2 linked regions of the Mus musculus genome follow. Each later gene encodes a partner of the first gene's protein in a complex. Links are inferred from orthologs where the notes say so. Each region holds a gene or a part of one and is shown in the gene's direction. Other genes may lie near its edges. The genes, in order: Mus81 and Eme2.

What was found.
Region 2: the proteins of Mus81 (region 1) and Eme2 are in contact, whole or in part, in a crystal structure (PDB 7F6L), measured with the Homo sapiens proteins. The link is inferred for Mus musculus from reciprocal best matches to the Homo sapiens genes MUS81 and EME2. Residues at the interface, in NP_079404.3 of Homo sapiens: His330, Glu351, Phe354, Lys357, Arg358, Arg363, Val365, Glu381, Leu385, Gln386, Thr389, Asn390, Gln392, Val393, Ile394, Phe398, Lys400, Arg401, Tyr411, Leu414, Leu415, Arg417, Gly418, Leu419, Arg421, Leu422, Pro447, Ile464, Lys467, Ala468; in NP_001244299.1 of Homo sapiens: Glu140, Arg177, His179, Glu220, Glu221, Val224, Leu225, Gln227, Leu228, Trp229, Asn231, Leu232, Asp233, Leu235, Arg245, His246, Ala249, Val250, Lys252, Ala253, Leu254, Gln256, Tyr257, Lys260, Gln261, Glu264, Gln266, Phe268, Phe270, Cys271.

The regions. Positions count from the first base shown.
Region 1 is NC_000085.6:5,481,814-5,485,431, reverse strand, and holds the end of Mus81 (crossover junction endonuclease MUS81), read left to right. Parts: intron 1-78; coding exon 79-174; intron 175-271; coding exon 272-393; intron 394-475; coding exon 476-573; intron 574-1,202; coding exon 1,203-1,319; intron 1,320-1,406; coding exon 1,407-1,502; intron 1,503-1,668; coding exon 1,669-1,797; exon of another isoform or gene 1,798-1,873; coding exon 1,874-1,977; intron 1,978-2,210; exon of another isoform or gene 2,211-2,240; coding exon 2,241-2,324; intron 2,325-2,402; coding exon 2,403-2,469; 3' UTR 2,470-2,871; downstream 2,872-3,618. UniProt on the Homo sapiens protein: Catalytic subunit of two functionally distinct, structure-specific, heterodimeric DNA endonucleases MUS81-EME1 and MUS81-EME2 that are involved in the maintenance of genome stability.
Region 2 is NC_000083.6:24,892,288-24,896,841, reverse strand, and holds the start of Eme2 (probable crossover junction endonuclease EME2), read left to right. Parts: upstream 1-1,754; 5' UTR 1,755-1,792; coding exon 1,793-2,021; intron 2,022-2,134; coding exon 2,135-2,271; intron 2,272-2,618; coding exon 2,619-2,711; intron 2,712-3,199; coding exon 3,200-3,291; intron 3,292-3,443; coding exon 3,444-3,537; intron 3,538-3,687; coding exon 3,688-3,803; intron 3,804-3,897; coding exon 3,898-4,087; intron 4,088-4,158; coding exon 4,159-4,329; 3' UTR 4,330-4,554. Other genes in the region: Nme3 (nucleoside diphosphate kinase 3 precursor), read right to left, coding at 84-214, 283-328; Mrps34 (28S ribosomal protein S34, mitochondrial), read right to left, coding at 762-1,054, 1,138-1,180, 1,354-1,674. UniProt on the Homo sapiens protein: Non-catalytic subunit of the structure-specific, heterodimeric DNA endonuclease MUS81-EME2 which is involved in the maintenance of genome stability. In the complex, EME2 is required for DNA cleavage, participating in DNA recognition and bending.

The DNA.
Region 1 (3,618 bases):
CAGTTGCCCCTGGGATTTAGGGGAACTACCCTGGCACTGAAGGTTCTGGCCTTATGCATAGCCTCCATTCCATTATAGTGGCACCACCGAGGGGGCCGTCCAGCAGAGACCACTGGAGCTAAGGCCTAGCGAGTACAGAGTGCTGTTGTGTGTGGACATTGGCGAAACCAGAGGGTAAGGAAATAGGGGAAACTGTAAAAACGACTTGAGGATGCTGGAATGTGGCGAGTGCTGGCTCACCCTGACTTGGCCTTCCTTCTTGAAATATCAGGGCAGGACACAGGCCAGAAATGCTCCGAGAGTTACAAAGGCTGCGTGTGCCCCACACCGTACGCAAGCTACACGTTGGAGACTTTGTGTGGGTGGCACAGGAGACCAGGCCCAGAGACCCAGGTAAAGGGTCTTGGATAGACAAGGGAGGCTGGCCTAGGTAGAGACAGGGAAGGCAGGAAAGCTCTTCTTGGTTTCTCCGCAGAAAGACCTGGGGAGCTGGTCCTGGACCACATTGTGGAACGCAAGCGGCTAGATGACCTATGCAGCAGCATCATTGACGGCCGCTTTCGGGAGCAGAAGGTGCCTTAGTCAGCCTGCCTCACTCCTTGCTTACCTCAACATAGAAAAGCTCCCGGGTGGCCTCAAAGCAGAGCCTCCAACCACACCCACTTGAAGCCCCTTTTAAGCCATGCAGGTGCACAGTTGAAAAACAAAGCTATTTCAGTTGGCTGGAGAAAATTAAAGAGCCCTTGAGTACCTAGCCCTAGAGATCTTATATAAACAAGAGGCAAACCTCTTAAGGTTAGAAATGCAGAGTCTATACCCAAGTCCCAGCAACAGGACTAACCCTAGGGGTCACAGAGCACAGTAGGCCAAGGGAGGTTTGGAGGAAGTATGATGTCCGGAGGTTCAGGGCTTTCCTACAGGACCAGAGCCTAGTGTGGTGTTGCTTTTAAGATATGAGAGGTGCCAGGCAATGGTGGCACATGCCTTTGATCCCAGCACTTGGGAGGCAGAGGCAGGGGGATTTCTGAGTTCCAGGACAGCCAGGGCTACACAGAGAACTATGTCTCAAAACAAGCAAAGGATGTGAGAGAGCCAGTAAAGATGAGGATCTGGGTCCCTTGCAGTGTTAATGTGTTACTGATGGCTAGCCTGGACACGTGGGCATTTGGGCCTAACCACACTGCTTCTACCTGCCTTCCTAGTTCCGCCTGAAGCGCTGTGGCCTGGGGCACCGGGTATACTTAGTGGAAGAACATGGGTCTGTCCACAACCTTAGCCTTCCCGAGAGCACCTTGCTGCAGGCTGTCACAAACACCCAGGTGAGCTGGGAGGACAGGACCAGGCTGGCAGATTTTACAGACCATGGCGCAGGCCAGGAGCTCCCTTCCTTGTGTCTTCTTCTCCAGGTCATTGATGGCTTTTTTGTGAAGCGAACCATGGATATTAAGGAGTCGGCTGGCTACCTGGCGCTTTTGACAAAGGGCCTGGAAAGACTGTACCAGGTGAGCAGATGCCTCTATCCAGAACTGGACCCTTGCCTGGTGTTTATTGCCCAAGCAAGGAAAGGTGGGGTCCTAGTTCTTCAGGCTTCCTACTGAGGCCTGGGAAAGGACTAGCTGGGGCTTAGTCTTCAGAGCCTACCCTGGCCTCAGTCCCCTCTTCCATCAGGGCCACACCCTACGCAGCCGCCCTTGGGGGGCCCCAGGGGCTGCTGAATCAGAAGCAAAGCCTTCCACAAACCCTCTCTGCTCACTCCTCACCTTCAGTGACTTCAATGCAGAAGCTGTCAAGAACAAGGTACCACCCCTGCCTCACCTCTGCTCGGGTGGCCTAGGCCAAGGTCACCCTTAACACAGGCCTACCCCAACCCCAGGCCCAGTCTGTGCGAGAAGTATTTGCCCGGCAGCTGATGCAGGTGCGTGGACTGAGTGGGGAGAAGGCAGCAGCCGTGGTGGATCGATACAGCACCCCTGCCAGGTACGCCCCAGAGAGCGGCTGAGGGCAGAGTTCACCACAACCAGTGCTCCTGGAGACTGAGCTTGGCTCTGCGTGGGCACCTTGGCAGGCTCTGTCCCAGCGTTTCCCAAGGAGGGAGGGAGGGGCTCTTAACACCAGAAACAGGAAATGTGTCGTGTTTAAGATTCCTCCACTCTAGGCTAGACCCCTCCTGCCTTACCTCTCATGTCCTCATGTCTCCTAATGCTTGCCAGATAATCAGCCTTTATATGCCCTACCCCCAGTCTCCTGGCTGCTTATGATGCCTGTGCCACCGCGAAGGAGCAGGAGATGCTCTTGAGCACCATCAAGTGTGGGCGTCTGCAGAGGTACGGGTAGTTATGATCTGGAGAGAAGACTGGGTCACCTGAGGCACCAGGCTGACCTCCTCCTGACCTGTCTTCCAGGAATCTGGGACCCGCTCTGAGCAGGACCCTGTACCAGTTGTACTGCAGCCACAGCCCTCTGAGCTGAGCTGTACCAGGAGACGCTCGCTCCCCAGCACCCATCTTCATCTCTACCAAGGCTGGCTAGCCTTTTAGCTGAGATCCCCTGGGCTTTAATAAAAATCTGGATGTGTGTGGTCTCGGCTGTTAAGGAAGCAATGCCAAGGTCCTTCTGAAATCTACAGGGGTTGGAAGACTACACTGCTGAGCCAACTGTTGTGTGTGGTGGTGCTAGCAGCGGAACCCAGAGCCTCACACCTACTAGGCAATTCCTCTTCCAAAAAGCAATGATCCGCAGCCCTGTACAGTGTCCTTACCCATTCCTAAAACCAGCTTGGCCTAAAACTTGCTCTGTAACCTAGTCTAGCCTAGAACTCCCAGTTTTTCTGGGTCTACCTTCCAAGACCTGAAATTAAAGGTGTGGGGCACCACACCATGGTTCTTTTTAAGGCAAGCTCCTGGGCTAAACATGGTTGTGCACACCCATGTTTAATAAGTACTTACATAGAGCCAGACCCTAAATATGGATGGCTGGATAATAGATAAACACTCCTTAGGGGCTGGGAATGCCCTGGTCAGAGAGATGGGGTCAATAAGGCACTGTATGTTTGAGTGTAATTAGATGGCCCCCGGTCAAAAAGTTTCTCAATCCAGCTGCCTCATTCTAGTGACTGGAGACCAGAGGCTTGTACAAGTGCAGAGCTTGGGGTAGAGCTAGGATGCTAACCCCAAACTCCTAGCACTGACCAGAACATGGTTCCTGGGCCCAGTATCAGCCAAGCTCTTGAGTGAGGACCTGAGGTACATACTCTTCAGAACTCCCTGCTCAGGCCTTTTTTTTTTTTTTTTTTTTTTCTTCCTCCTGAGACAGGGTTTCTCTGTGTAGCCCTGGCTGTCCTTGAACTCTGTAGATCAGGCTGGCCTCGAACTCAGAAATCCACCTGCCTCTGTCTCCCCTGAGTGCTGGGATTAAAGGTGTGCGCCACCACTGCCCACTGCTCAGGCTGATTCTGAAGAATGACCTTGGCTCTGAAACCTCAGCCTGACTGGAGAGGACCCCTTGTGTGGAACTCACCTGCCCCTCTCGCAGGCCAGCCCCTTCCCGGGCTGAGGTTACTCACCCACCTCAGCCAGGACTCCTTCTTTCTCCCTTTATTGTCCTTCACATCATAGTTCC
Region 2 (4,554 bases), on another chromosome or scaffold:
GAGTAGCGACCTATACCAGGGCCCCAACCCTAGACCGTCCCGATTCCCTTCCCGGATCCACCTGCTCCTTTGTGCGCCCACACCTGCACTAGCTTCAGTGCCACCAGCTTGAAGCCCTTCCTCTCAAAGCGACGCACGATCTCGCCCACCAGCCGCCGCTGCACGCCGTCGGGCTTCACTGCCAAGAACGTGCGCTCGTTCACGCCGCTGTAGGCTGCGGGAGTACTGGCTTCAGGCATGCCCCACCGGGCGACCCCCGCCCGGCCCCGCCCGGGTGCTCACCTGAGGGGAAGAGGTTAGCAAAGATGGTCAGCACCAGACAGATCATGGCGGCGGATGGGGCGGGCCAAGCGGCAAGGGGGCGGGGCCTCCCTTAAAGGACCTCTTGGCGCGGGCTCTCCTGGGGCTCTGCAATCCCAGCACATTTGAGCCCAAAGCGCAGTCTCGGCGCCCAAGTCCTGCCTGAGTGTGCGGGAGCACCTGCTGCTCTGCTCCATACCGCCACCTTTCCTCCCTTGTCCTGCGGTACACATGTAATGAAACCACAACACAGGCTGTTTCCTGGCGTTTATTTCCAGACCGAGGAATCAGAGAGGGGCCCGCCTGAAAATGACACCAAGCAGCCTGTCATCTGCCCCATTATTCATTGCCTGATGTGTCAGGGCTGTAGGATATAACTCGCCACCGAAGTGAAGATCTAGCACAGTCAAAGGCACTCGTCCATCAAATGACTCACAGGACCTCTCTGCCAGTCCTGGCAGTTAGACTGGGGTGCCCTTGGCCCTCCCTTTCGTCTCCTGTTTTGCAGGGTAGTCCCAGGGGCGCATTCGAGTCCTCTCCAGGTTCAGGAGCGGCTCCTGGACGCTGGTATCCCCGTTTTTCTGCCGTTCAGCGAGGATCATGGCTCGCAGCAGAGGTGGATAGGGGACAGAATTCAATCTGTCCTCTGGTTTCGCAGTGAACGCAGTGAAGGCCTCCTCCTCGTGCTTGGGTACCAAACGCCAATCGTGGTACATGACTTGCTCGATTTCCCGAGCCGTATCCTCACTCTTCCCTGAAGGAAAGAAGACAAGCTGACTGCCTGCTGGCTGGATGATATGAGAACCATCCCCGGCTCCAACCAGCATCCAGCCTTACCTTTGAAAGTCAGGATGCCCCAGGCCCTCCCGTGGTCCAAGTTCTGCAGAACAAGAGGGAGGATTGTCAACATGCAGCCCCTGCCACTAAGTTACGTGGGTAAGGGAGACATACATGCCCAGGTGGCTCAGAGTGGGTGAAACCAGCCGATGTATAGTCCAGGGTGGGCAAAATGAAAGTGGAAACAAGAATGGGCAGTACAGGAAGCTAGCGCACCTGCGCCGTGTAGTCGGGCCTCACACGCGTGAGGCGCCAGTAGCATGGCTCGTCGTGCTGCCACAGCCAGGACTTGCGGGTAACCAGACGGCCCAGGCCGAACAAGGGGAGGCGGGCGAGCAGCTGTAGGAGGCGGCTCTCGCGACGCACGTCGGCCCAGGCGCGTACCGGCAGCCGGCGACCGGAGTGCGGCCGGGTCAGCGTCTCGTAGTCTAGGGCGTAGAGCTGCGAATCTCGCGGCTGGTTCCGCTGCTCGCGCAAGGCGCGCACGCGGCGAGCCAGCTCAGCGATCAGCCGGGGTCTTACTTTCTTCCGCGCCATGTCAGTGTCCTTACTCCACAGGAAATCTGCGCTTCAGGAGCTCTCCCGTTCCGGAAGCGGCCGGTGTCCTGAACAAAAGCATCCGGGTACGTCCGGAAGCTTCAGGAACGAAGGACTTATGGCGGAGGTTGGTCCCGGGAGAGTCACGGTCTCGCGTCTCGGTCGGGGCCTGCGTCTCGGCCATCGGCGACCTCAAACCTGGGAGATTTCCGACTCAGACGGTGAAGGTGTCCCCGCTAGGGAGGTCGGCACGCAAGCCCCGAGTCCAGCAGGAGAGCGCAGAGCTGCAGCCAAGGCTTTACGGGCAGATCAGGTTCTGGGGCGACTGGTGGTGTGCGTGGACCCAGGTGAGGGGACGGGGGCTGGGAATCTGGGGCCAGCCACCAGACAGGGTAGCGTTGTCACCCACTAGTCCGCACTGGAGATGGTGGAATAACTCAATGTGCCTGCTGGGATCCAGCTGTCCTGGAAGATGCAGGCTCTGACATCCTGATGGAGGCGCTGGGCACGCTAGGCTGTGAATGCCGCATCGAACCGCAGCACCAGGCCCGCAGCCTGCAGTGGAACGTTGTCAGGCCCGACCCGGCCCCCAGCAATGTGAGTGTCTCCCTATGACCAGCCCAGTGCCAGTCCTAATCCATGTTTCACTTTTCCTCTGGCTAGCGAGGTAGCACAGGAGGCGAAAAAAACTGAAGGATGCCTAAGTCGAATTTCTTAACACAAGAAACCTGAACTCAGCTGCTGCCAGATAACCTCCTGTTGGCAATGAGGATGGGAGTTGGGCTAGTTTTTGTATTCAGGGACTTCTAGGGAACAGACCCAACTGGCCTGAACTTCACGGGAGCTGGAGGGTTATTGATAGTGTCTGGTGACTGACTGGCCAGCACAGGGAGAAGCCCTGGGCTCACACTGGTGGTTAGCAGGGCAGCTGATATCCCCTATAGGTGCCTCTGGAGGCGAAGGCTGAAAATGAGCAGGAACAGTTGCTGCTGCTGGAACCCCAGGAATTTCTTCAGGGTGCTGCGCAGCTGACCCAGGTAATGGGGAAAAGCCCTATCTTTATTTGATGGGTCTCCTTTGACAGTCTGGGATGGGATGGAGCTTCTGTCGAGGATCATCAAGGTGTTGAGGGTGAGATGAGAAAGCCTGCTGCGTGCTCCAGACATCAGAGCGTTAGAGAGCCTTTAGGAGAATAGTGACCTGACTGCAAACTGGCCAGGCATGGAGGAGGAACTGAGAATTCTAGCTGATGGTGTCTGTATAATGTAGGCACTGGCTGTGGGCTCTGTCTACAAAAGCTAATAATCCCTCACTTGGCTGCTTATATTCCCTAGACTTAAAGGTAACAATGCCCAACTGGTATTTGCCTAGAGCACAGTTCTGCTAAACGCTTTGCAGGTGTCGCTGTCCAAGGGCCAACGTTTGTCAAACACATGCTGGGTAACATTCCCCTGGTACAACAGTGGCTATAGGCCTGCCGTCAAAGCCCTCCTGTGAACAAGTATGGGGATATTCTTGCTTTCAGATCACAGATCCACCTTGCTCCATCCCCTGGCTTTCTCCCAAGAGTCTCACCCGCTCCCATCTGGCTGTCATTGGACTGGACGCATACCTGTGGTACCACTTAACCTCAGTAGGGCTGGCTTGGGTGGGATTCCAGGAAAGTGGCTTGCCTCTGGTGGCTCTGTCACAGCTAACCCCACTTGGCCTGAGTTGGCTCTGCAGAGGTAGGAGACTCTGGAGCCCAAAAGATCATCCCCTCTGTTCAGGTCTCACCAGCTCAGTTCTCAGAAGACATGGCAACTAAAGAAGTCAAAGGAAGCCCATGCCAGGGGAGCCATCAGCTGGGCTGAGGTGGAGGAGGTGAGGGCTGTGTGGAGTTGTTAGGTGCCTTGCCTTTGTCTCTGCACTTGGCTGTAGGCTGGCCTGTCAGAACTGGCCTTAGTTCCCAGGATCACTGGGCTGGCATTCCCCAGAGGTCATGTGGTCCGTACCCACTCTCACACTCCCCAGATCCTGGTGCTGCTGCAGCTCCATGCAAACCTGGATGTGCTGCTGATGGCTTCGTGGCAGGAGCTGAGTCAGTACGTGTGTGCCTTCACCAGGGCCCTCTCGCAGCTCCCCTCGAAGTATGCATCTCTGCAGGGGCCGAGTGGACACAGGCCAGGGTCGGAGGGCTGCACAAATGGGGTTCTCAAAGCGTCTGTCTGGGTGTCATTTCAGGCAGCACCGGGACTCCCAGGCCTTTTCTTTCTGCACAGCAGGGCACTGGGCCTCAGGCCAGCAAGTGACCAGAGATGGCTCTGGGCTCAGAGGAGTGTGGTGGCGACAAATCAGACAGTTCAACCGGGTCAGCCCAGCTGTGGCTGACGCTGTTGTTACTGCCTTCCCATCACCCCGCCTTTTGCAACAGGTGAGTCCCCTAAATCCCTCCTTCCAGGATCAGGACTTACCGTCCACCCCTTACACTTGTGCCTACTCCAGGCTCTCCTGGACTGCAGCACAGAGCAAGAACGCCTGAGCCTCCTAGCTGATCTCCCTGTGAAGGCCCACAAAGGCAAGCAGCCTCGCAGAGTGGGGCCTGACCTCTCACGCAGAATCTGTATCTTCTTGACAACCACCAACCCTGACCTCCTGCTGGACCTGAGCTCTTGACCTGTGCCATCCTGGGGTCACCTCCTGCCCATCAGTACAACAGGACAAGTCTGCCTAAGAATCTAATTATTCTGAGAGGCAGGCAAGGAGGTTTGGGTCCAGCCCATACCTTTTCAGACTGTGGTAGATAGACTCTGTTGCCTGATGGTCAAATGGAAATACCATGGGAGGTGGGTGAGAGGGTAAGGGAAGCTGAGGTGAATGGAAGAGTGGAGGGTAGTGGCC